3 linked regions of the Astyanax mexicanus genome follow. The protein of the gene in region 1 purifies or fractionates together with the protein of each later gene. This does not show direct contact. Links are inferred from orthologs where the notes say so. Each region holds a gene or a part of one and is shown in the gene's direction. Other genes may lie near its edges. The genes, in order: mkln1, zmynd19 and maea.

Evidence for each region.
Region 2: the proteins of mkln1 (region 1) and zmynd19 purify together in Homo sapiens (affinity purification with mass spectrometry; 3 studies listed by BioGRID and IntAct, with this or other methods). This does not show direct contact. The link is inferred for Astyanax mexicanus from reciprocal best matches to the Homo sapiens genes MKLN1 and ZMYND19.
Region 3: the proteins of mkln1 (region 1) and maea purify together in Homo sapiens (affinity purification with western blotting; 3 studies listed by BioGRID and IntAct, with this or other methods). This does not show direct contact. The link is inferred for Astyanax mexicanus from reciprocal best matches to the Homo sapiens genes MKLN1 and MAEA.

What each region holds. Positions count from the first base shown.
Region 1 is NC_064409.1:8,362,111-8,372,895, reverse strand, and holds the start of mkln1 (muskelin), read left to right. Parts: upstream 1-5,880; 5' UTR 5,881-5,896; coding exon 5,897-5,976; intron 5,977-8,106; coding exon 8,107-8,176; intron 8,177-10,785. UniProt on the Homo sapiens protein: Component of the CTLH E3 ubiquitin-protein ligase complex that selectively accepts ubiquitin from UBE2H and mediates ubiquitination and subsequent proteasomal degradation of the transcription factor HBP1.
Region 2 is NC_064408.1:19,970,570-19,981,524, forward strand, and holds the start of zmynd19 (zinc finger MYND domain-containing protein 19), read left to right. Parts: upstream 1-6,458; 5' UTR 6,459-6,642; coding exon 6,643-6,693; intron 6,694-10,190; coding exon 10,191-10,250; intron 10,251-10,955. Other genes in the region: bspry (B box and SPRY domain-containing protein), read right to left, coding at 2,186-2,584. UniProt on the Homo sapiens protein: May be involved as a regulatory molecule in GPR24/MCH-R1 signaling.
Region 3 is NC_064417.1:22,351,754-22,362,965, reverse strand, and holds the start of maea (E3 ubiquitin-protein transferase MAEA), read left to right. Parts: upstream 1-6,539; 5' UTR 6,540-6,578; coding exon 6,579-6,647; intron 6,648-8,325; exon of another isoform or gene 8,326-8,471; intron 8,472-9,984; coding exon 9,985-10,170; intron 10,171-10,372; coding exon 10,373-10,576; intron 10,577-10,734; coding exon 10,735-10,857; intron 10,858-11,183; coding exon 11,184-11,212.

The sequences.
Region 1 (10,785 bases):
GACTATAAAGGGACCTATAGTCTCATATGGGCTACAGTATATGTGTTGTAAATTAACTAGTACATCATATGTTGTGTTATGTGATGAATGCTAAATATTTGGTCCAGTGTCCTTGCTGTTTCTTCATATGCTCATGCTGAAGGCCTCTGGCTGACACTCCATCAGCAGGGCGTAGGAGCCTGCCTGGGGCTGGCCTGGAGCAGCATCAGCTTCTTAAATAAAGATGAAAGTACACTAAAATAATGTTTAAAAACTATTTTAATTTCATTCTATATTTTGCTTGCCTATGAATCAGGCGAGTCACCAGCGCAGCCCCACCGTTTACAGTAAATGAATGAAGTTCTTGCCAAGAGCTGGACGTGCACTTAGGAAAAATTGCATTATCTCCAGCTCCTTACATCAGCATGCGTCCGGTAAGAGACAGAGTCTATCTGTGGCATGATTCACCGGAGCACAAAGTGCCTTTATCGTCAAGGTCATTTCACTGGCTGATAGCAGAGAATGATAATCAGCAGTCAGACACAATTAAACTGGTTTGGATGTGGATTTTATCACATCGTGCTTGTGTGTGCATTAGGAACAACCTGACCTGGACAGTTAGAGATGAGAGAGGAGGGAGTGAGAGGATACTGAGAGAGTATTGAGAAAGAGAAAGAGGAAAAAAGGCAGAATAAGGGCGTTTTCACACTTGCACTTTTTAGTACAGTTAAATCGGACTCTCTAGGTTTGTTTTCACCCTTTTTCACAACCGTTTGGACTGGTGCAAATACAGTTCAGCTCTACTTTACCAAGTCTCCTCAGAGGAGTTGGTCTTGGTCCAATCCCAAATGAGCTCTTGAGTGGTTTATTTGGGATGAAAATGGGATCCAACCTCAATCTGGACCAGCTATCAAGTGTACTCAGCAGGTGCTCTTTAAACTGGTATGTTACCCTGACAATTACTGCAGTTATAAACAAATCCCATCTCAGCTGTCATCTTGCATGCTAATTGCTTCTACTAACTACTTTGTGACTATGTAGGATATAGATAAAAGTGTCAACATAGAGTATACTAAAAATCTCCAATGCATACAAGGAATTAGGCATGTTGTATGGTTACAGGAGACACAATTTTCCCATAATGAAATGCCAAATGTAAAGTAAGGAGCTGCGCATGTCTGAAAAAATTTGGAATAAAAAATGTTGGATATTGATGCAATTGCAGCAGCCATGGAGGCCAAAGAGTAAATATTCATACCTTTCTTAATAATAGATTTGCAAAGATCTTGTCAAAAAAGAGTCTTTGCAATGTTTAGGCTTTCCAAGTACTAGTCCCAGGTCCCATGATATCTGCCATGCATGGCAGCTAAAGAATGCTGCACTGAGCTGTGGGTTTCTGATTTTTGAGTTGCTTGCCTGTTCTCATGGACAAGTCTTGCAAGACTCCATCAGTCCCAATCATTACCACTCACTGCACTGTTCACTGCAGGTGGTAATGCCTTCTATGATGTATTCGCAGTACACAACAGACTTGTGTATTATGTGGTTAGAGAAATGTTAAAGGCCTTTACAACTTCAGAAATAGATGTTTCCATCCATCTGGCACCCCTCTATCAAGCCTCTAGGATATTTTATAATTTACGCCACCTTGCCATGAGCATGCTGGTCAGTTTCCAAACTAACTTACAAAATACCATCTCACAGCTCTGAGAAACAATATGAGACCATTTCAGTTTCTGAATTACTTTTTCTCACTTTGCTAATTATAGGTATATGTTTGAGTAAAATGAACATTGTTGTTTTATTCTATAAACTACGGACAACATCGCTTCATCAATATTTGGTGAAATAACCCTGGTTTTTAATCACAGTTTTTATGCATCTTGGCATGTTCTCCTCCACCAGTTTTACACACTGCTTTTGGATAACTTTATGCCACTCCTGGTGCAAAAATTCAAGCAGTTCAGCTTGGTTTGATGGCTTGTGATCATCCACCTTCCTCTTGATTATATTCTCATAACTTTTAAGTGGTCTCTTATTTTTTTCAGAGCCGTCCCGGAGGTAACACTTCAGGATCAATTCACATACTTCTATTCCATGACCTTTGGCATGTCAGTGTACTTCTCAATCTCAATATAACAACAAAATGTGCCATTTTACCAACGGTGCTCAATAATAATTGAGTATTATGTTGTTAGTGCTAAAAGTATGTGCTTCCTTTTAGGTCTTCATCACATCGGGGTGTACTGCTGATTGTGTGAACTCCTGAAGAAGGACGTCCAGTGGCTGGTAAAAAGACCCCCCTCCAGAGAAGTGTATTAAAGAGGATTACAGCCCCCCTCCTGACTCCTTTCTGGCCGTGTTTCTGGACTGGCCCTGTGATCTGGCAAACTCTTACAGTCCGGGTACAGTCATGGACAGCTGCCAGTGAGCCACTCACCAGTGCAACAGCGAAACAGAGGAATCCTGTGAGCTCAAGCAGAGGGCTTTAGTGAGCTGCTAATCAAATAAAAGGAGAGCTGGAGAAACATGAGATTTATTGGTCTCAGCATTGTCCTCTCCATCAGTCCAAAAAGTTCAGGTTCAGGGGTGGTTCAGGGTGAACTGCACTCATCAGGAGAAATGCTTCGTTCTTCTATAATTAAATGTCCAAACAGGAAGAGGAAAGAACAGGGAACAGTGTTAACACATGGCAGGTCAATGCCATTCATTCAAGCCTGGCATCCACTAGACACACAGGTTGAGAATTGTTCTTAAAAATAAACTCTACAAAATTATTTAAAAAACACGAATAATAAACCTGTTGAAGTTCATGTCTGGCATGTTTAACATTGTTGCTTTTGCTTCACATGTTCTTTTTAGCACAAATCTGATGAACAGTCAAATCAGTCAATCCATTTGGCGAAATATAGTGAATTTTGGTAACTTGTAATCAAGTAAATTTAAAAGCTAACAGTTAAATTTGGGTCATATTGTAACACCTTAGCCTTTGTATGTCTTGTGTTTTTCCTTTTAATTGTCGTTCCTGTCCTGCTTTTTAATCAGTTTTGTTTTCCTAGCCATGTGCTTCTTAGCACATGGTTCTGTCTTGTCTCCTCCCTTGTCTCTGCCTTAGCCCCACCCAGTTACCCTGCAACCTCGTTTCCTCACCCAGGTGTTTCCTGTTTCCCAGTTTTTATATATACTAGTGTTAGTTTGCTGTTTGTTTTATCCACATTCCTGTCATGTTTTGTGTCAGTTAAGTTTCTGGTTGGTTTTCTTTAGTTTGTCTTTCTTTGTTTTAGTCTTTTTTAAGTCTTAGTGTTGTTTGTTTCTTTGTCTCAGTTTTGTTCTTTATTTGTTTTTAAAATGTCAGAACATAAAACTGACTTGCTTTTGCATCCCGCCTCAAAAGTGTTACACATGTACTACATTTCTAACAACACTCGTAAGTCTTCGTAAGCTAGTTAGCTATGCTATAACATTAGATGAAGGGTTGGGTTAGCACAGCTAGCTATTATATAAGTAGCTCCTGCAAACTGCATTTACTTAGAAAGCGATACATGTTTGAAATAAAATGACTGGATATTATTTAAAAATTTATTTGAAAACCTCCTAAAAGTAGGCGTGGCAAAATAAGGTAGATACTGACTTTATTCATTTTAAACCAATCACAGCAACCAACATTTTCCCCTCAGCATTAAAAATTACTACTTCTCTCTCAAATACTTTAGCAATCATAGGCCTACAAGTCTCAGCCTCTGTAAATGAGTGAACTGCCTGCTTTGAATGTGTGTGAAATTGAATACAACTCTTTTTCTAAGTTCTTTAATGAAAATGATAAAAGCAAAAAGAAAACCGGATTAAAGTGATGCAGAAATCTCAGGATGATTACAAAACCAACACTGAGTTTTTGAAATGGCTTAGTTTTTACAGTCACATAAAGGGACAAAAACACTGAAAACCTCACAAGTTCACAAAACACTTTTTTTTCCCTCAGGCTTTTGGTGATTTGTTCATCATCATAAAGGCGGAACAAAGTATGAAAACCAGGACTAGTTTATGGGTTATTATGTATTCATCATAACATGAATATGCATGCTGTGCAGAAAAGAAGAAATGTTCCATGGTGAATGTCTTGGATTCACTGCTTGGCTTTAGAGTGTATTCAGTGCACAGCCTTCCCAGTGCTGTCTGTAATAGGATTCTATATTCCACTGGAACTGGAGGCTGCTGAAACAGCCAGTATTGGTGCCATTATCATAGTCTGAAAGGCAGCCATCCAAGAAAGAAGCCCCTGCTAGAAAATTAACACCATCAAACTCTACAAAAGGTTGCATCTGACCACATCAACAAAGAAAGGGCCTTTGGAGGAAAAAATGTTATGGTCAGTTGGCAAGTCAAAGCTATTGTAGCGTCATTGAAGACAGAAATGAGACTGGACCATGCTCCCACTGACCAAAATGAGTCAATGAGCAGAGATTCTCTCTTAAAACGGCGGACCCTCCACCCCAATTCCAGACAGGCAAACAATGACAACAAGGCCACACAAAATATAACCCCCTCAAACCAACACAAACTTCCAACAACCCAAAATAAAGAGAAAGGGAAACCAGTGAGTATGCCAGCCAGGACTTATGGACAGATGAAGTTACATGTGCTTTCCATATAGGTTACAGAGCCTGCATTTTAACAAATTGTGATGAAATTATAAGAAAAAGTGTATGATATTAATTTAAAGAGCACACACAGATCTTTCTGGTTTAACTTTTAAATTATTTTACTGTGATTATTATTTTTTTTATTATTATTTTCATTTTTAACACCAATTGTTAGAAATAGTTAAAATAAGATTCAGGAGTTAGCTTCAAAGTTGACTTGAGTTTATGCTCCAGCAGACAGAAAATTATACACAAGCTCAGCTTGTTAAGTCACCATCTGGATTTAAGTAAGTAAATGATGTGGGGCTGATGCTGCAGTTGGTCTGCAGGTCTAGGTACAGCAACAGTATGTGCTGAAAGAATGAGGTCAGATGACTACCTGACTACCTGAATAAAGACCAGATTATTCCATCAATGGATTTTTTCTTCCCAAATGGCACGGCCATATTCTAATACCAGGACTCATGGGGCTGGAATTGTGAAAGAGTGATTCAGGGAGCATGAGATCATCATTTTCACAGATGGAATGTTCACCACAGAGTCCAGAATTTAACCTCATTAAGAATCTTCGGGATGTGCTGGAGAAGGCTTTGTGCAGCTGTCTGACTGAATAAATAAATGTTATATTATTTACGTGTGCAACGTGTTTATTATCCCATAGCTCTTTTAACTGATAACTTTTTTAAAATGATTTTTTGAAATAAGGGACAAAATATGTCCTTCATTTTGAGAGATTATTGAATTAATGCCACAATGAATGTGGGCCGGAATCAAAGCTAAAGTGGTCCAACAAAATATTAGAGTGTGTGACCTGATTTTTTTGTGGCCAGGCACATATAAAACGAGAAATGTCATAAAACGAGAAATGTCTGCAGAGACGGATGGCCACCAACTCTCAACAACAGGTGGTTGAGGGATGCAGTGTTTTTAGTGTCAAGGGAAATAGGAAGATCGGGAGTGAGACAGTTGAAAACCTAAAGAAAACACAATTTGTTGTAGTCAGAATCCAAATGTAGGAGGGCATGTTTTGTCCCTTATTTCAAGAATATGTTATCAGACACGTCAATAATATAATACCAATCCATAAATGTATTAAAGCCTGCCTTTTTCGCTGCTTTATTTAGTAAGTAGATAAGAGTTGGTAACTAGATAAGCTACTTATTCCAGAAAATGATAGCTAACCTAGTTGTTCTTTTTCCTGCAGCACCGTCTCTTTAAGAAGCTGTCACTCCCACATTAGACTTGTAGATTGCGTTACTTGTTATTTGTGCAACAAGATGGCGGTGGCTCCCGAGAGCAGAGTGCTTTCCTACAGTGTTTATAAATGGAGTTCTTACTCCTCGACATATTTACCGGAGTGAGTAACGCCGCGAAAAGCCGCGGGAGTCTCTGTTGTTAGCGCCTTTGCGGTGTCGGTGTCAGTACAGTGCAGAATATTAAACTCGGGGCCTGACTTGGACAACGGGCCGAGCAGCACTCCACCTACTAAACTGAGATAGCACTTAGCTAAGCTAGCTAACTATATTAACGGATAGCTTAGCTAACTTACCTGTTTATTACTTAAATTATCTAAAACACTAGGCTGACTGAGGCGCCATGATTAGTTAACCGCTTTACTCAGCTATTTAGCTGCAGCAGTTCATGCATTTCTTTATTGTTTGCCTTTAGCTAACAAGCAGAGCGGGCTAGCTTAGCTTAGCTTAACTAAACTACCTAGCGTTAGCTATCCAGGTGCAGATAGCATTAGAATTAGCTAGCTAGCTTGCTAGCCAGCTATCGGTAGCTTAGATAAGATAACCTAAAGTGCACATAGCTAAACGTACTTAACTGGCTTATCGGGGTAATATTACAAGAAGTTAGCTAACTGTTAATTAGCTAACCTAGCTAATATACATTAGATAAAGCTTGTAAAGCTGTAGCTAGGTTAACATAGCTTAGCTTAGCCAGGCTAAGCTAGCTACATAATGTATGTGAGGAAAACACAGGGTGAACTGACAGCTCGCTCCTCTTCATATTACAGCAGCTAGCTAGCTATAGATACCTTGCTCTATTTACCTTTTATAGCCTTTATAGAATTCTAGCAAATGTCTCTCTTTTATTTATAACTTAAACTATTTGTGTCATCGTGCAGCTTTGAGAACTCGGGTCAGAGCCAAACCCAATATTAGCCCTAAGTTTATTTTTGGTGCTTCATGAATCTTGCTTGTTGGCTGTTTAGCTGCTATTAGTGGAGTAACGTGAGACACCAAAAGCAGTGACCCACGTTTACACCACTATTTCTGTCTCTTGTAGGCTATTTATCACACATGTTATCTTGCTAGCTAGTAAACTAGGTTATGTAAGCAAAGCCTTAATGTGGCCAAATAGTATAAACTAAAAACTAGGGCAATCGAACCTCTCTGTGTACCGTGTAATGTAATGCTATTTTGTAACGTTAGTTTGCTAATGCTGTTCATACACTACAAGACTTTGAACAGGCTCTTTAAGGATTTTAACAGACTAAAGTCTGACAACCTCTCACATCTAAAGACAATTCACAGACGTTTTCGTCGAAGACTTTTTAGTCACAGACTTTTCAGTCACAGGCTAAGGTTTTGCAAAAACTAAAAATCACTGTTTGCAAGACTTCAACTAGATTCTTTCTGAGATTATTTCCCATCATGGTTCGGGTGGAGTTCACATACAATACATATTACATATTAAGTTACAAATAATGCTATATCAATACTATGATTTATCAGACGCACAGCTTTTGTCCACAACAACAACTGTGTTCAACTCTGCCTATAAGCTTTGTTTTCCCCCCTTTTTGCTAGAAAACTTGTATAGCAAAGAATCACAGTTTCACTGCTAGACATTTGGCTTTGTTTTAGATATAATTAATGCAATTAAAAACAATTCTTGCAAAATATGTATTTTTAAACATGTATGAAAAATAACACTGCGCAAGAAGACAAAGTAGTGCAAAAAAAAAAACTTTAAATATAGTGACTTTAAAGTGCTACCTGTGTTTAAAATACTGTAAATATGTAAGTAACAACCATGTAAGGCATATTAACTGCAAATACGTTCTTATTCAAAAAGTTTGTAAACAGTCATGTAAAATATCCTTGTCTTGTGGCTTCCCACAGCTCTCCTATTGGTTGTTAATATTGTTCTAGTCACTCTTTGCGTGAGCTTTCAATCCTAACTACCTACTACTAACACTGAACGACCGTGATGAAGCAACTGCAACTCGACTGAAGCTCAACTCTAGCAAGAGTATCCCAATTCTGGAAATGTCTGTGACAGTGAAATGGCTTGAAAATCATTAGATGTAAGGTCGGCATAATCTAGCTAAGAGTCTTACTCAAGTTTACCCAAGTTACATTACCTTCAGAATGTTGCTGAAAGGCTTATTTTGTTAGTAATAGGAAAGCCGGTTTAGGAAATCTCACCAAACATGGCATTTACTAGCCAACTAATGCTTTGCTTTCTTTACCTGCAGAAACATTTTGGTGGACAAGCCCAGCGACCAGTCTTCCAGGTGGTCCTCTGAAAGCAATTATCCTCCACAGGTGAATATCTAAACTTCATTCTGCAACATGTTTCATATTTGTGATGTAGAATATGTAGAAAGTTGCCTACAGAATTCAGCATTCAGATTTACTGAACATCCTAAGAGTTTATCTGATCTTCTTTACAGAATGTAGGAGTGACTGGTTTGTTCTGAAGATAAAACTAGCTTCTTTTGAAAGTTTATTTAAGCACTTACAGCTCTGTTTCATCCATTTAACAAATAAGATATACAGGTTAAGAAAGTGTTATTTTTATTTGTGTATGTAAGGATTTTAGCCTTAAAATAGTTACATTCCTGTGCATACAGAGAGAAACCAAAACGTTAGAGGAACTATGGAGTTTTAAGCCCCTTTTGAAGAGTAGTAAGCCCCTTTTGCAACAGTAGAGTACATTTTATAAGTAGTAGAGTTTGTTATATAGTATAGTTAGACTTTAGTCGTTGATTTGTTTGTCTGCTTGTAGCATGAATGTGCTAATATTTGTATTTTAACATATTTTTATAATGAATCATACACCCTGAACTGAATGCATTTGGCTTGAAAGAGGGAAAAGTTGTTTGTGGCTGTAGTTGCGTATTTAAATTATTGATCACTCTGTGTATTACATGTGCAAAGTCCTTGCATTTGTACTTTTGGAAAGGGCAGCACATATCATCGATTCGTAGATATAGTATTTCATTTTTATGGGCCGTTTTTTGTGAGCATTACTAAAATGTGCTCAGAAGTTTTGAACATTGGAAGTTGGTTTATTTTTTTTTCTAAAGCATTTTTCAGGGTTCAAAATGTAGTTAGGTAAATGGATGTTGTTGGTAATTAAGATAACCAGCTAATGTTTAGTTTAAGTCTGAAATAGATATTCCTATGCACAACTGCACTGCAGAGTGCAAAGTGTCGTTAAATGAGTTTGCTGTCTCTGCTCTTTTCTAATACTCCCAGTTCTGGGCTAAGTGATGTACTGTTGAGAGGGGTATCTGGCCTGCAACTCTGAAGATTTTATCTGATTAGTGTGTTTGTGCTGAAAATTATCTGATGACTGCATGTGGTAAATCAATATAAAATCTGATCGCTGGTACGAATCCTGGTTATACAGCTTACCTTCAGCTGAGGGAGTCCTGAGAGAGCACAATTGGCCTTGCTCTGTCTGGGTAGGTAAATGGTGCTCTTTTAAACACATCACTCCTAAGGGTGATGTTGATCAGCACAAGGCGTCTGTGAGCTGATGTATCAGAACCAAGTCGCTGCGCTTGGAGATTTTTCTAGAAAAATTAAAATATAGTCAGAAATATGCATAATCTACACAAAATGTATGTAAAAGTTATTTTCCTATTATATTTGCTCCTAGTTGCTGGTACTGTTGGTTTAGCAGTTTAACTTATTTAGACCATATCAAGCAAAATTTAGTTTTTCATTTCAGCATTTTGCAAACAGAATTTTAAGAAAAATTAAAAGGATAATTTTCAGATTTGTCCATTTTTGTGTCTTGTAAGACAAATCTGATGGTATAATTTAACTTGCAGAATACAAAAATGGAAAAATCAGAAAATAAAGAAAAGTTATTATTTTTTTTCCCCAGAAATTCTGATTGTGAGGGGCAGAGATGAGAAAACTAAAATTGTAACATAAAATACTACATTAAAACTAAATAAACTAAGTTTTTACATACAATTTTCTATTTTTTCGTTTTGCCTCAAACACTCCGAAAAATAAATTAATAAACGTTTCACTGTTACACTGTTGCATAATATAAACCAGAAAACCTTAAAATCACTCAATCAGCACAGACTGCCAATGTTGCATGTGTAGTTACTAATGTCAGTTTCAGTTACAAAGTTTGTAAAATGCTCAACAAATAATTCTTGCTTTGTTTAGGTCTTAATTTATAATGATAAATGCATATTATTCATTATTAAGCGTTATTTCACTATTTATTTTTGCTCAGATCTAATGAAGCTGGTCATGAATTCTGTGCTCCACAATATGATGACCATGTGTTTCTTTACATCCCAAGATGAACCTCTTTAGCCATATTCCGGTTCCTAATCTCATTTTGGAAAGAGGAAGTGGCCTGTTGTCTCCTTGGCATGCAGCATGCAGTGCTGTCAGTCTTGTGGTTAGGCAGAAAGGAAATCGAAAGTGCTGTCTGGGGTACATTCTCATGCACATTCAACTTTTAACCCCTGTTTTCACTAAAAGCCTGAAGTGCTGTGGTGTTTTTGTACCACACCTACCTCAGCCTGACAAGGCAGGTATACTTACTGTGTGGACATGTGATAAAGCTACTTGTTTTCATGTGATCTACAGACATGTTCATGTCAATGCACTGGCTTTTTAAAACGTATCTTTTTTAGCTAGTGTCGTGTTTCGTTATTTCCATTTGGCAGTGGTTGTGGTTGACGATTTTCTTTGCCATTGCTCCATTTCATCCTTACCTGTAAACATCCAGAGAATTAACACAAATACAAACAAAATGTGTGCACAGTGTGAACAGAAGGTTCTGTTCCTATTTCTATTTAACATTTGAGTACAAACGATGCCTTATCACGGTATTTACATGTTATAACAGTATGTTCTGTGGGCCAGTAGCCATGGTAAGTTTGTGAACCAGCAAT
Region 2 (10,955 bases), on another chromosome or scaffold:
TAGTATATTACTTTTACAGAAAACCATTTAACCTGAAACCACTCTCATCTGATACTGTTTCTTATCTCAGTGACTGATACAATACAATATGTGCAGACATTTGTTAAAAACTGGTGGACTTCCCCTTAAAGTTCCACACTGACATTCAATACCCAACATTTCTTTACAAGAACAAGGGCCTTGGTGTCCAGGTCATTCTACTAAAATGCCACCATGCTAATACGGCTCTGTTAAATGTCAACATGGCAGACTGTTAAAAAAATGTACAGTGCGGGGTGCTAAACAAATAACAGTAAAATTGCTTAGTATAGTGACAATAATGATAGTAGTATATAGTAGACAGAAAAGAACAGTGTTTACAAACAACTTATTTATTTAGCTTTGTATTTTATGTACCTGAATGTATCTGAATGCCTTCAGAACATCAGGAGAGACTGGTTCAGTCAATTTTAATATGTTTCAATAAATATTTAATAATATTAATATTAATTAAATAATTAATTAATAAGAAATTAACACAATTAGTGTTCAATACCCACTTTTATGCTGTGTATGTATTTTATTTACCATATTAATGCCATCAGCAATTCATGAACATAAGCAAAGTTTGTTTTTTGTTACAACAAATATTGTGTGTATCATGTAACTGTATCTTCTTTAAATATCGCAATATAAAATTCAAATATCATGATGCATAATGTTCACCACGTCGTCCACCCCCTGGTAGAAATTACTACTTAACAATAAAGTTTTACTGTGTATTTTATGTAGTGATTTCGGAAAAGATTTTTTAACAGAACTGAAACTGAAACCAAATGAAACATTTGTCCTGAGGCTGATTGCAAACCAGTTTTACATTGTAAAAAATTTACTGAACTGAAGATTTTTTAAACATCACATCAGATTAATTATCAAAAAAGTATTATCACTTGTTCAGCTGAACAACATGTTTTATTTATGTTTGCACACATTTTCGGTGCATTCCTAATTTTATGTCCAACACACAAGCACAAACTGGTTCATTCAAAAATCGATCTATTTGGAAATATTGCTAAATACTGCATATTGTGCAACAGTACTGTCTTAAATGCTGTGATATAGTTCACCATATGGCCCATTGCTAGTAGGTAGAAGTGAATGTAGCATAGAATGCCATCAATGTCAACAGCACATGAGCACAAACTGGTCTAGTTGATTTAAACATTTTGCAATTATTACCAGACATTACCAGTATAAAATACTAGCGATAGAGACTTGAGTAAAAGTCCAAGTCAAAAAGTGACCTAAGTAGTACTTAATAAAGCATGCAGCATACTTTGTACTTCAGTATTGCAAGTAGTTTATTCTAAAATGTATAATAACTAATGACATACTGAAAGTAAAAGTACAAATGCTGTGCTATGTATTTATCACAGAAAGCAGTGGAAAGTTGCAATGGGAGCAGTCTACTTACAAGAACAGCTTTATAGCTTGATTCACTCATGGCTGAGGCAGCTGTGTAACATTTTGTATAACTGTAGTGACTAAGGATGCAGCACATAAAAATGTATAGGAGTAAAAATATTAAACTCATTTAAAGTATGTACTAAAGTAAAAGTTAAAGTATGAGTAAGAATAATACTCCAGTAGATACAGGTAAAACAGTGAAGTAGTTCTACTTTGTTTTTATACTTCTCTGATTATTACTGTGTATCGTGATATAATTTTTATCACAGGATATCATCTTTAAATCTTTATTGTGACATAATATGATAAATATGTGAAACTGTGATAAAAAAAAACAGGCTTATTTCACCAAATATTGGTTTCTGAACTCTTAAATGATTTGTGAATATTAATAATTTCTTTTTATTTTATTTTGCATTATTTGAGGTCTGAAAGCCCTCCCTTTTTGTTTTTTAGCCATTTCTCATTTTCTGCAGTTTTCTGAATGACAATATTTTTATTTGGAATTTGGAATAAATGTTGTCTGTAGTTTATAGAAGAAAACAACAATTTTAATTTGGCTTATAACATATAATTATAAATAGCAAAATCAGAGAAACTGATTCAGAAATTAAAGTGATCTCTTAACCACAGTGTTGGGTATGTTATGTCCTATGTGAAGCACACAGACAGTAAACAACAACACAAGTTGAGTTACATTCTTCTGTCACAACGTTACCTTAATGTTTCAGTAACTCACCCTGACGGTCGTAGCTCGTTCGGTCAGCTGTGTGACTGTGTGACCCTGGCAGGAGCCCAGAGTTTCACACAGCGAGCAGACCGGCCTCTGCTCGGTGTTACAGTACCGGTCCAGCTCCGACTGGTGTGCGGGGCAGAGCTTCACTTCAGCCGGGGAGCCGGAGTCCGCCGCGGGGCTCGCCCCCGCCACCGAGCCGTTTGAGTAAAGGGACGGAATTACGTTTATCCAGGGGTCTTCAGACAGAGTGTCAGAGAGAGGAGACCCCTCCACCGAGCTCCTGCTCCTGCTGTTGTTATTGTGCTCCTTCTGAGACCCCCGGAGTCCGGGGTCCTCCTCCTCCTGCTCGGTGTCCCGCAGCGACACCACGGCCAAGTCACAAAGTCCGTAATCAGCACTCATGACTGCTGGAGAGAGGTGGGAGTCTTCAGCTGTGTTAAAAACAGCAGCTACAGCGTTAAACTCTACTTTACAAAGCTTAGATAGTTATAGCTATTACCCTTTCTCAGCTGTTCTTTTAGCTGCGCAGCAGGTGCATCCAGTTCTGCCACCCAGGCCTACCTGGCCTACCTGTCACAGGTGTACAACACGGAAGTTCCAGCTCCAGGTGGAGGATCCAGTTTTTCCAAGAGAGAGAGAGAGAGAGAGAGAGAGAGAGAGAGAGAGAGAGAGAGAGAGAGAGAGAGAGAACGAATGAGCGAGAGAGAGAGAGAACTTACGAGCGAGAGAAAGAGAGAGAGAGAGTGTGAGAGAGCGAGAAAGAAAGAGAGATAGGGAGAGGGAGAGAGGGAGAGAGAGCAAGAGACAGTGAAAGTAAGAAAGATATATTGAGACTAAGGGAGGGGAAAAAGTAAGATATAGAGAGAGAGTAAGTGAGAGAAAAAGAGCGATAAGGATAGAGAGAAAAAACGAGTAAGAGGGATGCAGAGAAAGAAAAAAGAGAGAAAGAGTAAGAGAGAGAGATAGAGAGAGAGAGAGAGAGAGGAAGTGCTCTCTAGTTTCACAGGACAGCCAACTAAACTGGATAGTTGACTTTAACTGAGTTGAGTCCCTCAGCAGCTTTCAGAGTTGAGATCCAAGTTAATCATCCCATTTGTAAAGAGCCAGAGTGGGCGGAATGGGAAAACAATGGCAGGTTGATGTTAATGGTCAACCCAGTGGCTCATGCTCTCACAGACCTACTGCACAATAATGACACTCACATACTCTCTCTCTCGCTCTCTTTCTCAGGTGTGCCCTTGGGACTGGATGCAGTCAAATCACAGCAATGTTTATTCCAAAGTGTGTTGAAGCCAACCAGGGTATACTGAAGCAGGATACATTCTAGTGTTTTTTGTATTTGCTTCACATTTTAAATCTTTATGCACACAAAACTTTATGCCAAAAAAAAACAAAAAGACTTTGCATAATACATTTAAATAACATGCTATTTGACTTACAGTAGAAAGTCACCTAAAATTGAAATACGTCTGGTATGGTGATGCACTGTTGGTCTGTTCATTGACACCTGCACAAATATATAGGAAGAAATTATTTCTGTCCTCATAACAAAAATAAAGTGAATGGTAAAGGAAAACTACTTCTTATCTTTCAATGGAAGCCAATTAAAGAAAGTTTATTTCAAGTACTATTTGACATTTTTTTGGTCCTAGAGTTGCCACCAATGTTTAACAAAAACCTGGACACTGTTATACTAATATATACTGATAGACTTTTTCTCACCAACATACATGTCCTTAAGGTGAACATAACAGAGAAGATCAGAGAAGGCTTGGTGAAGTATGGTTTTACACAGCACTGACTATATTAACAATGGTTGTATTGTTTTTAAATAATGCTACAGCAGAGCCACAGTTACCAATTCACTGCCTGTCCAACTCTACCTGTAGGAGCCACCAGGGCTGATGGGGTAGTCAAGTCTAATGATTCTGCAGTATCAATGAAAAACAGTCATGCAAGTGCACCCAGAGTCTAATCAGTCAATTTAACAGACACAGTAAGACAATGAACTTACGAAACTGGGACATTTAGAGATAATCATTACCCTGGATGGGTAGCAATACACTTATCATGAAATTTTGACATGTTAGATACATATTATGTCAAAAAATAAATAAAAAATTGCGTGACACTGACTATGCTATTTTTAAGAATGTGCTTTTTGTCTTGCATTTAATATTTCAGTCCTAATGCAATTCAAACTAACAACCATCTAATGTGTATAATATGATGTGTAAAATGTGTATAAATTATCTAAAGTGTATAAAGTTGGGGTATTAACTTTACTCAAGTAAAAGTGTAAAAGTACTGGTTTAAAAAGTACTTAAATTATAAAAATAAAAGTAATTTTAAGGGTGGGGATGATAAAAAATGTTTTTAAGAGATTTATCTGGATAGTTTTTTTAAAGATCATGGATCCGGAATGAAAACAAGCTGAAATTAAATAGTAAAAGTAACAAGGCTATTTGTAATGTAATATATGGAGTAGAAAGTTAAGATAATTGTGTAAAAAAGTCAGGAAGAGAGGCAAAAAGTCGTCTTTACTCCAGTTAAAAGTATAGATAACCAAAATTTCTTCTTAAGCAAGGTAACAAAGTATATGTACTTCATAACTTGACACCTCTGTTTATAACACTAAAACTTTGTTGCATACTAGTTGAGTATATAGCAGTTAGCACTGCTCTAGGTTATCTGTTCACGCTCTGACTCGGAATTTCGCGCTAAAACGGCGCCACGTTCCCGCGCTCAGAGAAGCGCCAGCCAATGACGCGGCGGAAGCGGGCGGGTAGGAGGAGCTTGCAGTGAGATTCCCTTCCTTGATTGGCTGCTGGGATCAAACCCCAGTACGCAGCCAGGCACACGTCAGACACAGTCAAATACGCGGCGTTTTAACTGGCTGAGGCGCTCGGGGTTCTTCAGGGGTTGGTGTGTGCTGAAGCAGGGCTCTGTCCCGCCCCCTGTGAACGCTGGCAGCAGAGTTGCCAGATTCGAGATTCTCCCGCCAATTTGAGCATGTTTGAAAATCAAGTGTGCTGCCTTGAATGTTACATGAACACGGTGGGCAAACGTGTACAATAAGAACCAGGAGAACATAACGACATAAGGGAGATAAAGAGAGAGAGAGAGATTAAATGTTCTTGACTTGGATATGAAACTGTTATAAAATAATTGATGAAACACAAATTTTACAATATTATTAATGACTTTATGATAAATAGCAATACTGATAATGAATCCCTTATAAACAAAATAATAAGTCGTACACTCATCTTTGTTTTGACATTTGCTTTAAACGTGTGACAGACATACAGCTCTGAAAAAAAGTAAGAGGCCACTATACTTTCTGAATCAGTTTTTCTGGTAAATATTTGAGTAAAATTAACATTGTAGTTTTATTCAATAAACTAGGGACAACATTTCGCCCAAATACCAAATAAAAATATGGTCATGTAGACCAGAAAATGAGAAATAACTAAAAAAAGATGCAGAGCTTTGAGACCTCAAATAATGCAAAGAAAACAAGTTTATATTCATAAAGTTTTAAGGATTCAAGGAGATTTTATTGTCATTCGCATCACATGTGGTACATGAGGTGGAATGAAATTGTGGTCTCACGATCCAGTTTACACCCAGGAGCAATTGTTAAAATAGATACATATAGACAAAATAAAATAAAATAAAAACAAGAATACAATAAAATAGAATAGAACAAAATAGACATCAAGATAAACACACAAAAAATAGGGAGAGTAAGCAGGTGGCAGCAGCATGAAGTCCAGAGTGCAAGTTAGCTATAGCAGCATAATAGTGTGAATTAAGAGCATAAGTGTCTCAGTTAAGTTTATAATGACAGTGTTTGTAAACAGTAATTGTCTTTGTAAAGTGACAGTGCAGTGTTCAGAGTTCAGAAATCAATATTTGGTGAAATAATCCTGGTTTTAATCACAGTTTTCATGCATCTTGGCATTTTCTCCTCCACCAGTCTTACACACTGCTTTTGAATAACGTTATGCCACTCCTGGTGCGAAAATTCAAGCAGTTCAGCTTGGTCTGATGGATTGTGATCATTTATCTTCCTCTTGACAATATTCCAGAGGTTTTCAATTAGGTAAAAACAAAGAAACTCATCGTTTTAAGTGGACTCTTATTTCTTTTTTTCCAGAGCTGTATATTTTTTGGGCTTTAAGCTTCTGAAGGGCGGGTTTGACACTGACTTTGGGCTGGATATTTTTGTTGGACCTGGCAACCCTCTCTGGCAGGTTTTCCAACGCCACTCAGCGGCGGCGCATCGCGGTGGTTTGGTAGCGGGTGGGGAAGAGTCGGGCAGCGGCTGACCCTCGCAGACAACAGAACTTGTAGGGAACTCGGGGTGAGGGGTTGCCCGGACTGCCTTCAGACCCGAGAACCGCCAGACCTGCGCTTAAAACCTTCCGCTCATCACCTGCGAGACCGTCCGTCTAATGTCGGATTTCAAGCTCGGGATTGTTCGACTTGGCCGTGTGGCCGGGAAGGTGAGACCGATCCCGGGGACTGCCATGTGCGAAGGGGAGGGGATCACAGAGCTGGCGAGGAGGCTTTTATTAGCAATATTTAGAGATTAACGCATAAATCAGCGGCTAACTTACAGTACAGCACGATGGTCGTTAAAACACACACCCCCTGAACGTGTCTGTTGGTCGAATAAGCGATTTTACCGGTGTTCCGTCGAGTTGTGCTACGTTGTCAAACCGTGCTTCCCTAGTGTAGCTGTATTTAACCCTTTCAGACCTGAATTATGTGTTATATATATTCTAATATAAAATCTATACGAACATTAAATCAAATTAAATAAATTTAGTAACTGTCTTATGTCTATTGCATTGGAGGCCAGTGCTTAACATTTTTTGATTTTAGATTTGATCTTGTCCTTTTTGTTCACAAGCCATCCCTAAACACTAAAATAAACATGGTAAAAAGTGTTCTAAATCACACACAATTAGTACAAAAAATAGCTTTTTTAATTTGCCTATGTGACTCTAGTGCTAGGATTTTTGCAGTGGGCAGGGCTAAGCTATTGTTTCATAAGATCGTTTTTAGTCTATTCTGATTAACAAATGGTCTCAATTAACGTTAGTGTTCTGCGCAACAAAACATTTAGGAAAAAAAGAAAACGCATGTCTGTTGTTGTGGCAAGTGGCCTGAAATGGTTAAGGCAAAATATATAAGGCGGCAAAAATACAAATGAAGCACCATATTAGAGCATGATCCCTGTATGTTTATATATATATTGGATAGTATAAATCACTGTATTAGGGTGAAGTTAGCTAAGGTAATGGGAGGTAATTAGAAACTGCTTTTTGTATTTTTTATTTTTCTATTTATTTATTATTAATTGTCATTTTTTTCTTTTGTGCAATGACTGTGAGTCCAGGTTGTTTAATGCTCAAAAAACCATAAAAGATAATAAACACACTTATCATATTAAAAAAACGGAGAAATAATTAAAAAGTGTAGGTGAGCGCATGCGCAGTGCCTTTAGAAAGCGCGTATCGACGGATAGCATAACTCGGCAGAACACCGGAATAGCTTCCAAGCTAACGAAGCTAACGCAGCTAACCTGCTAGCAAAATAAACGGCAGGGTTTATGAAGGCTGGTGAGCGCGTGTGTGTGTGGATAGTGGCCCTAAACAGCATGTCTCTTTTTATAATTTAAGATACTCATTTAACGAAACGTGGGGTTTAAAATACTACACGATGTTTCTTAAGCAGCCGGCTTAAATGAACTTAGCACTCGGTTAGCTAGCCGGACATTTAATCAGGAGACGAGTCGGCAAATCTCTGAACCAGGAACCGCTGCAACGTGACTCAAACCGGCGGCATGTCTGCTGAGTGGAGGAGTTTCAACAGCGGGCTACGTACAACAGCTAGCCCGATTAACTAAAGACTACGCATCTATAGCGTATTAAACTACATAACATAGAGAGATCACAAGCTAGCTATTATTTATCTAGATAACCCAGTAACAGTTAACCTAGTTCGCTACAGTGGGAGCTAACATTAGGTTACACGGTGTAACTATAGGTCTATAGCTTGCTAGCTTAGCAAGTTAGCCCCTAGCTTTGCTGCTATTGTTGTGTTAGTCAAGCCTTTTCAGCCTAAAATCACACCAACAATGGCTATTATCTCCCAGTTAGAGTTCTGTGTAAAGCAATTTTCGTAGTAAAGACTTTTACTTCAGGTGTCATCTAACGTTTAGCTAGACGTACTATATTTTAATATCAGATCTGTGCTAAAAACAGAGCCATCCTTACCATTTTCACCTGCCCTTAATGTTATTACTAGCCACATCACCATCACAATTCTCACCAGTCTTAAATGTTCTTTTTACTTGCCACATCTTCAACATAAACATCTGTCCTAATGTTATTTTTGTACCACTTTACTTGGATGGTCCATTTGATGGCCCCATTGTCTAACATTTACCTAACATTCAAATTCACGTCTATTAAATGCAAATTAACCCTATGTGGAATGTAAATGATTGAAAATAGAACTGAACTAACTATTATTTAACCCTAAAATCTAACCATAACCTCAATCATTAATCAACCCTAAAATCTAACCGTACACCTAACCCTAATCTTATCCTTAACTATAACATTTCTAACCCTTAACCCAATCTCTAAATGTTAAGATTAAAGTTTGGGTTAGAGTTGGGTGTGGGGTTACACTGAATAGATAATTAAATCATTTATTTTTAGGGTTAAAAAAATGGTTACGGTAAGGGTTAGGCGTAGGGTTCGGTTCTATTTTGTGTTATTTACATTCCACATAGCATTGATTTGCATTTAATAGACATGCAGTTGAATGTCAGTTGAGCATCAATGATGCCATACATTGACCATCTAAGTAAAGTGTTCCTGTTATTTTTACTAGTCACAACCCCATCACCAATACCTGTTTGTAATGTTATTTTGGGATTTTACTCACAGTAACACTTTACAATAACAGTACATTATTTAATTAACAGTACTTACAACAGATTATGTTGTTAGTTAAGCCTTTATTAATAATGACGTTTTATTATGTTTACAGTGTTTAATAGCGTTATAATTGTTATTCCAGACATTGCTTAACCAGTTAGTATCGTTTATGACTGTTAATTGATATGCTTATTGTAAAATGCTCCCTCACTCTCTTATGAATAGTGACATTTTTGATTGTAAAAACAATCAAACTAACTACAATTACATATAATTGCTTTCTTACTAGTGAAAATAAATTGTAATTCTTATTGCTATAACTTTAATTTGATGTATCTAATATTATCATTAGTCCAAAAATAGACTAAATTCTCTACTATTACTATGACTAGATTAAGTATTTAGTTAACTACTAATTTAGATCACTTTATAGATTAGTAGGAACTGAGTTGGGAATTGTATTGTTGGTGTCATTTTAGGCTATAAATCTAGCTATAGCTCCAGTGTGTCTGTGCCAGGCCGCTCCTGCTGTGACACTAGAGGGCAGCTGGTAAACAGAGATCAGTTTGGATAGGTGTGGGCTGGAGCTGCATGACTGAAGGCCTTGGTAGACTAATGATGTGTACTAATACACAATGCCAGTGGAGATCTGTCATTATCTCAGCACTTAAGCATTTTAGTCTTTGGGCATGCAATTTTACTCCACTAATAAAAATTAGATGAAGTGAATGCTTTTTATTGGCTGTTTGTATTGGTGTTGCACATGCTGTGATGCATGTCACCACTGTCACATGTCTTTTTGTATCTACTATTTTTTTTACTTCAAAATCTGAATCGGACACAGCTGTTTTTTTTTTTTTTTTTTTTTTTAACAACAAATCAAATGTTCATGATTAATGATCCAAAATAAAAAGGGTTTTTCAATTTCTTGTGATATGAGGATTGTGATTGACAGCCTAAATAGCTTGTGACTTCAATAATAACGATTGATTGATCTTTCTCTCTCTCTTTCTCTCTCTTACTCTCTTTCTCTCTTTCTCTTTCAGACAAAGTACACCCTCATAGATGAGCAGGACATACCATTGGTGGAAAACTATGCCTTTGAGGTGAGGAATTAGACTCTGTCTGTGTGTCCATTTTATTCTGCCACACCCACTTTTTGTTTATTTCACTCTTGTGTTAGAATTTCCAGTAATTTTAGATTTATGGTGGTGGTATGTTCAAAGACTGCTGTGGAAACTGATCATAAAGTACCTAGCTATGCTAACACAACATTTTAACAGGCTATCTAATGGTTATTTAGACTGTATTTAACTAGCTTTGGAAAACAACACACAAAGATTGCAATGTTGTAGGTCACTATATATGTTGGAGGACCTGAGTCTATGTTTCAAGGTGCTGAAAATAAAAACATCTCATACATATATACTTCTGCTTATACCAAATTGAGAAGAATGATAATCTTACCGAAAACCTTTCTCTCTATAATGGCAAATTTAAAGGAGAAGGAAACGGGTTTCTTAACATTTAATGGAAGCTCATTAGTAATTTTGGAGCATCTGTATTAAATTCTAACACATTGTAAAAAAAAATTGCCAGATTTACATTATCACTAAGTAAAATAGACAAGAATAGTAACCAAGGAAGAAAAAAAAGATATATATATATATATATATATATATATATATATATATATATATATATATAAACTATCTAATGATTGATGTTTAAATTTGCAGTTGTAAAGAATAAATTATGCAGGTTTTCGGTGAAAAAGTGTATTGTGTCTTCGTTAAGTCTTCGTTATAAGC
Region 3 (11,212 bases), on another chromosome or scaffold:
GTGGATGTCAGGCCAACATTGGTTTTGACATCAAGCCAATTTTCATTTCCAACTAAATGCCCACTGTTTGAGTCCCTCATCCTTCTGACTCCTAACTGACATCTGTCCTCAAGGCCAATTTTCAGTTAAATAAATACAGCTGAAAGAATCAATCTGCCAAGACTCCTCAAATAATCCTTCAGGTTGCATTGTGGAGGCTTGCGTGATGATTTTAGGCCCTATTGTTTTAAACACAATAGACATGGTTCACTTTGACCTTTGGACAATGTCTCACGCCTAAGCATTTAGCACAAGCAGGAACCATGAGTAAATGTGAAACCAGAAAATGTGGTATTGAAGAAAACAGACCAGTAGGTCTTCCCCAACTCTTGAAAGGAATATTCACCCACGGGTCTACACCACTCAGGTGCAGTCGCCTTGCTTTCGTCTTGTGCTCATCGCAGAAGCAGAGAAACGTGCAAAAGATCAGGCTCTGATAGCACGGCTCTGATTAGACCTGACACATCCAGCAACACCGCTGTGTGGAAATCTTCACGACCTGCGGTGGAATCTTTAAGGGGTAGGCGTGCCGTCTTTTCTGCTGTGTCTCTGAAGATGGCCTGATTTACACACTCTGTATGTGCAGCTCTGCTGAAAAAGAGGTTTTAAGTTTCAAATTCACATTTAGAAGCCATCTTGCCTTGCAGACAGGAGCATTTCTACAGAGGACGGTAAAGACTTAAATTAACATTACTTTGTTTACTATGTTGACTTCTGAATTCTATGACTAAAGTTAGGCCGCTGTAAAGGGGTTGTATGTACATTTCTCACAGCCAATGAGCCGTAAAGCAATATTTACTTCCTTTTTTTTTTTTTTAGCAATAAGTAATTTAACACATTACTATTCCCAATCTAGTAATCAGATTAAAGTTACTCATCCATGTCACTGTGCATTCCTTTTTTGTCGTTTTCCTCAGTAAAAAAATACCGTAGTATCCGGCCGGACACGTTGAAATGATGGACAAGAAAGATGTTTACAGTCGTCGCTTTATGGCTGAAACTGGAGGCTGCAACCACGCCAAAATAACAACAACAGGCTAGTGAGCTAACAAGCTTAATCAAGCACTCGGGCTAAACACACACAAACACAGCAAGCACCCCCTCCCTCCCCACCTCTCTCTTCCACACACACACACACAAACACACACACACACACACACACACAGCAGTCACACCGCTCTCTATACCTCTCTATCACACACACACACACACACACACACACAGCAAGCCTCCCTCTCTCTCCACCACACATACAGATCCCACATTCTCTCCACCTCACACAAACACAGTGAGCACCCCTCTTTTTCCATCACACACACACACTGAATCTGACATCAACATCAATTTGAACCACTTTCTTATGTGGTCATGAAATCTGATACACTCTTTGACACAGTTTGAACAGCCACAATGATTAATTCTGATCCAATCACACTGAAGAGAATTTACTATGTATCAGATCTCATAATTATGACGTAGTATAACATTATAATTACTTGCCGAAGGACCCAATTTTTGCTTCTATAGACAATTTAATGAGTAGGTGTGAAAATGGAAAACAGCAGCAAATATTTGGGGTGAAGTTTCTGTTAATATAAAACTAGAGGAATGTGTTGCATGTGTTCCCAAGCCAGCCCATGATATGTCATTTGTTCATATAATCATTTTAAATAGTGCTATTTAAAATGCCTTAAGACATGTCAGTTTATATGTTAAATTTGAGCTATACTTTATAAATAGTACTATATCTCTAAACAAAATTGTACCTTGTACTTATGTACATAACGTACATAATGTAATTTGGATTCAACTGGATTCTGACTTTTGTCCACTGTGTACAGTCTTAAAGTTCTTAGAGGAATGCCATAGAAAAACCTTTTTGACTTCTTCGAATCTTCTACAAAAATGTTTTTTCTATGGCATCTTTTCAAGAACATGTATACATATCAAACCACTGATAAGGATAAAGTTTAGAGGGAAATGATTCTTCTCTTATTTTTGTTTCCACACTGGGGGGGTTGCATCCTCTTGTACACCCCCACAAATCAAGACCTGTTTTTTGTCAGTTTGTAAGTACAGTGCATGGGGGGCGTGTGTTTTCCACTGAAGTGTGACTGGTTCTGAAGAAATCAATGAAGTGTCTTCAAATCTTAGAAAAGCTAAATTCAATTGAAGACAGAAAGCACAACTGAGCTCAAGCGTAAACCGGCACTCAACCATGCGTGAAGTTATATTGAGATAAGCAGAAATGCCACTGATAGGCTGATATTAATCGATATTATAATCGATATTAGTCTATCACAACCACCTCCAACTCGGCCATTCTGTTTCTTTTCTCCCTCTCTCTTTTCTTTCCTCTAAAACTACCACTTCCCTCAAAATCAGTGTGTCAGCTAGAAAGGCAGCCCCACCAAACCAGCCCCTGACTGCCTCTCCCTGTCTGTGGAAAAGAGAGAGAGAAAGAGAGAGAGAGAAACAGAAAGCCTGTGTCAGAGCACTCAGAGGCCGGGCACTGACAAGCACACACAGCTCAGAGGGGGGAAAGAAAGGGGGGCAAAAACAATGACAAACCTTGCATCACCCGCTTTGGAGGCTCAGTCCCTCAGTGTGCCTGGGAATTGGGTAAAGCATGAGGACCGAGAGGAGGGGAACAAAACTGAAACGGACCAATCAGGCCTGGCGACCGTGGGCTGCCTTTGGAAAAGATCCAATCGAATCGTGGCTCATTGCTCAGGCTGACTGGGGGAGGGTTTCATGCAGGAAACCGAAATCTGAGCATGCTGTGGGGTGGGGAAAGAGGGAGGCAGGGAGGAGGTGAACGAGTGTAATGGGGGGATGGTGAGGAGGGGATGGACAGAGAGTGGAAAAATAGCTCTTTTTCATCAAATGAAAGTTTTGGCACGGTGAAGACCCAGCTTAAAACATGTTCTCCTACTGTGGTTAAAAGGGGAACTCCAATGATCTGATTAAAAGTTTAAGATGTGAACAAAAGTTACAAAAGTGGCCTGATGTGCTCTGTATGAGAGAATCTTACCGAGTCAGAACTGTTTGAAATTTTGGTGACAGATATCTGAAAAACAGAAATGTTTGGTCAAAACAAGATTTTTATCAAAAATACAGTGGCTTGCAAAAGCATTCATACCCTCTGAACTTTTCACCTAATAAAATACATTTAAGTTTGTGGTTGTTGTACAGTGACAAAATGTGAAAACATTCAAGGGGTATGAATAATTTTGCAAGCACTGTATATTGGGGCGGTTTCCTAGACATGGACTAAGCATAGTCTGGGACTACACAGCATTCTGAATGGAGATTTTTCTTTAAAATAGAATCATAGACTTAATCCCTCTCTTTAGACCCTATTTTGCTAATTGCTACCTTACACCCCACGAACAGCCTTTTTTTACGCTTCCGTCTGCATCGCTTAAACAGGGACAGAGCTTACGAACATATCTGTGCCTATAGGTGTGGTGCTCTGGAAGTAAGGTGTGTTCAGGTTCTGGCGTATTGCTATGTATGCAGTGGAAACACAGGTACACTGAATGCAACCTAGGCAACAATCAACAGTCAGACATTCATCGTTCATTGTTATCTTGGCAACACAGGCATGCTGTGCTGTGTTTAAACCCCAATCACTAGATGGCAGTACCGGTACACTGTCGTGAGATCCCACTGTTCTAATTTGCATAAACAGTTAACTTTTCTTTCATTCTGATTTTATAAACATGTTGTGTGTTTTTATACTAGAACAGTTTTGTCTAAAATGTGCCAAAAGCATTTCTATTGCAATATATTGAATTGTAAGCCTGTAATCGTGATGTGTATTGTATCTCCAAGTTTTTGCCAATACACATCCCTATATTCTATCATTCCAACATTATCAGTATTACTGTACGACGAACATGTAGGATTTCCAATGGTATTTGAAAACTAAATATATGTGTGTATTGATACACACACCCCCACACACACTCCCACTTATGTCATGCTGTGAAGTCATGGGACAGCAGTATTTAAAATGATTAAGACCTTTTATCTAACAGGATGGCTTGGGAACACCCAAACCTAATCTTATAATAATAGTATAATGATCTTTTTTATAATTTACATTGTGAGAAAGAGAAGGGAACCCTCACTAAAAGCCTGACCCGTAACTGATCTGACAGAAGTCTGAGGACACACCCCTTTTACAAACTTGCGTTTTACAGTGGTGCCCTTTATGTAGAGTACATCAGCATAGCCTTCCTTTTGAGGAGTTCCAAACACACAGGCTGTGTGCCAATAAGCGTAGGCGACTCATGTTCTAACTAGCAGGGGTGTAAAACATTTGTGTTTATGTACTTGGTTACTCATTTCTTTTTTAATTTTTAAGAACATCTGGTACTTTACTTACATATTACTAAATATTGAAGGACACTTTATTCTCTCCCCAGTACTGTACAATTTTGAAACTTTGAAATTTGAAATCTTTTAGGTATGCATAGATTGACTGAAGATTTACAATACCATACACATTATTTTGTTGGTATTTCTATGAACCAAGTCACATTTTCTTGCTCAAATAACAATGGATAGTGGAACATTTTTACATATATGTTTTACTGCAATACCTGTTGCATGCATGGCTAACTCCTAGCAACTTATTTCAGTGGAAAACAACTACACTTTTTCCACCCTGCTTACACTTGCCTTGTGTGGAATACTGCCCAGTGTTGCTATTGTGCTCCAAATCAGTACTCCGGCCAAGTACAGCAGAATTCCTATTGCACTCTTGGAGGACGGTGTACTGTGTGTCCTTGGAGTACAGACAGTACACCTGGCAGGGCTTTCTATTCCCAGATGCCCCCTCAGTTGGATTACTGTGCCCCCTCTGCTTTGAGTTCCTGTTCTGTCCTGCAAAGTATTTCACTTTAAAACTAGCTCTGACAAGTGTATTGTCTATACTTACTGTATTTTAGTTTTAGTAACATTTACAAAAGCAGTGATTTTTATTGTAACTAATTAATTTTATTTGTTAAATAAAATTATGTGAATTTTACCCAAGGAATCCTGACAGGTAATATTTATGTGTATCATTTACTGGGAACTTATTTCACCATTATCAATGTTCTGTTGTCTTGCTTTTCAAAGAAAAAAAAAACATTTACAAAACACTTAACATCCCAGCAGACATAACAAAGCACTATATTATTAAACATTGTCTAAATTAAGATTACATTTTGGCTAAATATTTTTGGATGGCAAATATTCGGAGCATCAGCAATTTGTTTAAATTATCAGTGGTAAAATGTTAAAGACTAAAATGTAACTGTTACAATTCAAAATCTCACAATTTCTATATATTGTAATACTGTAAGCTATATATTTTATATTTAAATATATTTTGATTGTTTAAATTAAATTAAATTGTAGGAAAACTGTCACAGTACAAAGAACATACTATCATATTTATTATGTCTGAGTCAAAGAAAGTTTATATTTGTGCAATCAGAACAAGGATCTAAACACTTTCCAGTGGCCGTGGTTGATATAGATAAATAAAATCTTGATTAAATAAATCAGGGTATATCACCTTGTATGTAAAATAATTAAAAAGCTATACTGCGCTTTGACAATCGATACAAATTGCAATACAAAATAATTTGATATGATGATATATCAATATTTTTTACACACTACTTGAGTACCTGTAACTGAGCATTAATATTACTTCACCAAAATACCAATAGGCCGGACCCTTGCTGACTTTTGTTCTACCTATTTCTGTTTACTAGAACACAATAGTAATACACACTATTCTCTTTCTATCAGTTAGCTATTTAGATCTAAATGCTCACAGTTTTTTGTAGAAACTGGGTTCTGGGTGGGTTTCAGCAAAGGTCCTTCGCAGTAAAATAATTCTTAGATGGTTAAGCGAGAAGCTTTAACGAGTACAAACTTAATTTAAAAAAATAATTCACGGGAAATGTATGAATACACAATTTATACACAAAGTGCACTGGATTAAAAGGCGCACTGACGATTTTTGGAAAAAATTGGGAAAAGGATTTCAAGTATGCCTTATATTGTGAAAAATACCTATTCATGTGTGCTCGACTTATCGAGAACTACCTCAAGGTAGTGTGTGTATAAACAGCCTTTTTTTATAAAACAGGGCATAAAAATTGTGATTTCTAAACAGTGGTGTGAAAATGTTGATTTCTTTGCATGGCTACGCTATGCCCCTATCGCAAGCATTGTAAGCCTGTTGGTAGCATCAGCAAAATGCTGTATTTCTAAAGTCTGGGGGCTATTTGACAATGGTTTGCACTCGTTTTCATTTTTCACTACCCCCTAAGTCCATTTCACACCGAATTTCTCCTTTAATGCTAAGATACTTTGGGAAACTGGGCCCTGACCAGTGTACCAGCATGCAGGGTGCAAAAAAACACGAACACGGTACTGGGTGCCGTTAGGGGTCAGTAGAGAAAGGTTCTCCATTAGAACTACAGTGAGGGCGAGCGACGAGCAAGAGCACATACCGTTCTCCCCAAACGAAGATGGCGGTGCAAGAAACAGCTGCTCAACTCTCCATGGCTCTGAAGGTTCAGGAATACCCGACTCTGAAGGTCTGTACGCGCCGCTTCCACCCTTCACAGCACGCGGACTGAAGCACTGGATTAGGCTGGGCTGATCTAGACTGATGATGGGGGGAGATGTCAGGTTAATTAAGGTGTCAGCGGATTGAGAACCAGGCGAGAAGTCTGCAAGCTAGCGGGGCTAAAGCGAGTTAGCAAAACAAGTCAGCGAGAGATAGAGAGAGGTGTAGATACAATGAAGGAGAGAGAGGGGTGAACGGACATCGAGGGCTTTTGACACTGCAGGGATACCAGTATTAATAAGCCCGTCTGTTTTACGCATTTCTTTAACAGTAACTTAGCTAATAAAAACAGCTACATTATCGTATGCTGGACGCGTTGTTAGCGTTAGCTAGGTTAACGTTCCTGTACTGAATTTGTAGTTAACTGGTTTGTGGAGGCTGAGCCTCAAATAACGACAGACAGACAGACAGACTGGCTGACTGACATTATAAATGTCTCTACAGGCAAACGGGCCTAACATCTATGTTATGTAGCTAACAAAAAAATAAATAAATAAAAACTAAAGCAGACTACTGTCACAACGCTACACTGATCATTATAGCTGATTAAATTCAAACTATTGTAACGTTAGCACAGTAAATGCGAATGCACGATTGACATGAGTGAAATAAATGAAATTTCAAATGTAGCTAACAACCCACGATATACACATATTACTCAAACGACCATTTACTGATCCACCTAAATCCACTTATTTCAGGGTAATTAGGTAAGTTAGTTAACCTAGCTATCTAGTTAACCTAGGTTAGCCAACGCTAAAAAACTAAGCAAGCGAGATAAACAAATTGCTCGCTAAACGACCGTGTACTTTGCTAGTTAAAGGGCAAGACGGTTAGCTTGAGGACTAACCTAGTTTCGCTAACGTAGCATAATAAAAGTACATTATCGTGAGTATTGTTAGCTAGCTAGTAGCTACTTGTATTCTCGACGTAAAGCTAACTATAGCTAGCGTTAATGTCACTGGTTTTGTTCATTTGTTTTAATGTTACGAAATAACGAAAGACAGACCGCTTGACATTACGCTAGATACAATCCTGCAGTGTAATGGGCCTAAAAACTAACTATAGCAGATTCTGAAAGGAATGCATAGTGTTAAGTTAGCTAGCTAGCGTCAACTGCCTACATAAGAATTAAAAGGGTTAGCTCAGGGCTAGCTAGCGTTAACTAGCTCACTGTGTGAGAGTAATTGCTAAGCTAACTCATTTTTTATATTCATGTTAAATTTAACGAACCACAGATTTAAATTATATTGACACATATATATCTAGGTAACGTTATATGTGTTAGCATAGCTGGCTAGCTAGCAGATTGCCTGCTAGTTGTGCTAAAACCGTTTGTGCTCTGAAATAACCCTAAGTTAGACCAGTCTATCTGCTCAAATGTATCACTATCTGCTGTCAGGTTGCTAGCTAGGTAATTGGCTAGCCATTTGGCTAGCATGACGTAACCCAAGATGTACTGAGCAGCTAGCTAGATCAGCTAGCTAGTTAGCTATGTTAGCTAACCTAGGTTTGCCCTTATAATCAACCATTGTTTTTTAAATAATCATCGGCTCATCTAGCTAAATACAGCCACACATGTAGCCATTTTTAGCTAGTTAGATGGTAGAGGAGTTATTTATTAAAAAGGAACCCAGGTGGTCGTGACTGTGTCAGTGCAGGACGGTGGTGACCACTAACGTTAGCTGTCTTTAGTCCCCCACGAAAGCCAGACTGGAAGGCTGTGTGGTAGCCAGAGCTGGCAGCTCCTGCTGATCCACGCTGGAGGAATGCACGCAGGGGTCGGACAGGGGTACGTGTTGGTGTGTGGAGGGCATCGGGTTTAGCCTAGCTGAGATCTCACTCCGGATAGCCCATAAAACATGCTTTAATCGGCGTAGATGAACACACACACTGTGTCTGGGCGTGAGGGAGCCCAATGTTTGATGGCTGGCATGCCACCTTTGTTCTCTGCGTCACAGATTTAGCTGTTTTCCACTCCTGGAAGATTGAAGCATGCAGTGCTTGGGAATAAAAACAGCGATCGTGACGCTTAGGCATGTTGTGTGATGCGAGAGAGTGCTTTTGTGCATTGTTGGAGCAAAACCAGGGAGCATTTGTTCCACTGTGTAATGTTCCATTATCTAGTACCGGTGCTGAGCACGTATACAGAATATAAATGATGCAGGTTCCTCCTTGCTTGCTGTCAGGTGTGAGAACAAAAAGATCATGTGTGTGATGTGCTGTGTTAAAGGCATGGCAGTTAGACAGTGATTGCTTTTAGCATCGTTGGGATGTACTGACAATGAACTGATGATGATGATCATTATGATGATGATTTATTAGTTATCTAACCACTAACCACGTTCATTGCCTCCAGCCTTATATTACAGCCTTATAAGTGTGGTGGATATGGAAATTACTGCCCAGGTTTGCTGTTTGTTAGCCTATTTTTATTGCTCTCCAGACCTATAACTGTTTTTGTAATCCCAGCAATACATCTTATACACAGTATTATTGTCTTCTTAGGACCACATTTTGCCACTGATATAATGATAACATAAAAGCATGATTATGCAATAATATCCCTTCAAAGAGTAATGGGCTTTAAGATTAGTGTATTAAAGCACTGAAGTTGGAATCTTTTTTTTTTGTAATAACCTAAATAAATGAAACATACAATTTATATACAACACAATAGGCAATATATAATACAACAAAATGTATTGATTTCCATATATTGTGGATAACTCACATTTTTGTAAAGGCTAGTGCTGTTAATGTCAGAATATCAGCCTCCTTTTTTAGATTTTCATTTAACACTTATAGTATTTATTAAAGGAGAGACTTTTCAAACAACATCCAGTATTTATTCACACATTAAAGCAGTTTAAAGCTGAAAATAGTTTGGTATGGCCTTCATTTGTTTCTATTTTTTCTTTAACTATGATGGAGTTCTTCAAATAAAGTCCGGATTTTCAGAAGTTGAGATGTGAAAGGGGCCACAAACCAAAGTTTGTTCTGAGTACAAGTAGTGTCGTCTGGATCTACTGAACAATGGTCATGTACAGTGTAAAAGCTGAATCAATCTTTAATCATAACAGAGAAAAAAAAAATTGGTGTTGTGCTGAAATCCAACTCTTCTCAACGTCCATGCATGTCACGTATGTCAGCTTTATGGACACAAACACTTAGACAGGGAATCCATTTATAAAATATTTTCATATTGCACACCTATAATTCTAAAATAGATCAGTTCGGCAGTATACTGATATGATTGCTTACACAGCTATCTGTAAATATCTATTTATTTGTGCACTCTATAGGTTCCCTATGAGACCCTAAATAAGCGCTTCCGTGCGGCTCAGAAGAATATAGACCGGGAGACCAGTCACGTGACCATGGTGGTTGCTGAGCTGGAAAAAACCCTCAGCAGCTCCTTCCCTGTGGTGGACTCAGTGGTCTCACTCTTGGACGGTGTAGTTGAAAAGCTCAGCGCACTCAAAAGAAAGGTAAGCTACCATGGGAACAGTTCATTACAGTGGATTGTTCACTTACAGGTTACACACATACAAACACATTTCAAATCAGCTAAATCATCATTTAGTCATCAGTATTTCATTAATATAAGTAATTTGTAATAGGTAAACATTCAACTGAGGCCTAACAGGTACGTTGGCGGGAGAGTTCTAACAGATTTTGATCTTTGTGAAGGCGGCAGAGTCCATCCAAGCAGAGGATGAGAGTGCTAAGCTCTGTAAGCGACGCATTGAACATCTAAAGGAGCACAGCAGTGACCAGCCTGCCAATGTCAGTGTGTGGAAGAGGAAACGCATGGACCGTATGATGGTGGAGCATTTGCTGCGCTGCGGCTACTACAACACCGCAGTCAAGCTTGCCAGGCAAAGTGGCATTGAGGTGAGCTCTCTCTCTGCTTTGTATGTGTAAGTGTGTAGGAAAAAGGATGAGAACAGACTAAGAACTTGTACATTAAATATTGGATGTGTTTACTGAAAAATTAGTTTTGTTTAGTTATTGATTGTTATTTGTAATTAATTTGGATGTTATTCTGCCAGGATTTGGTCAACATTGAGATGTTTCTCACTGCAAAGGAAGTGGAAGAATCACTAGAAAGACAGGAAACAGCCACCTGTCTGGCCTGGTGCCATGACAACAAATCTCGTCTGCGGAAAATGAAGGTACGGCAGATTTGCTATGTTTGAATTTAAAATAAGATTTACATATAAATACCTATAACTATCAGAGACATGTTTGGAGAAAAAATAGTGAATTGAATTTAAATAACAGAACACCCTGCCAACTGTTAAGCATGGGAGAAGATACATCATGTTTGGAACTATGTTCTTGCCAGTGTCTGTGCCAGCACTGCATAGGTGGAGGATAAAATGGCTCCCATAAAGGATCACAGAATATTGGATGCACCCATGTAGCACAAACCAAGCTTAAGCAGTGGCAAGCAGAATTTAAAATTAATTGTTTAAAATGCAGTAAATTCTCCTTTCAGAGCTGTTTGGAGTTCAGTTTGAGGATCCA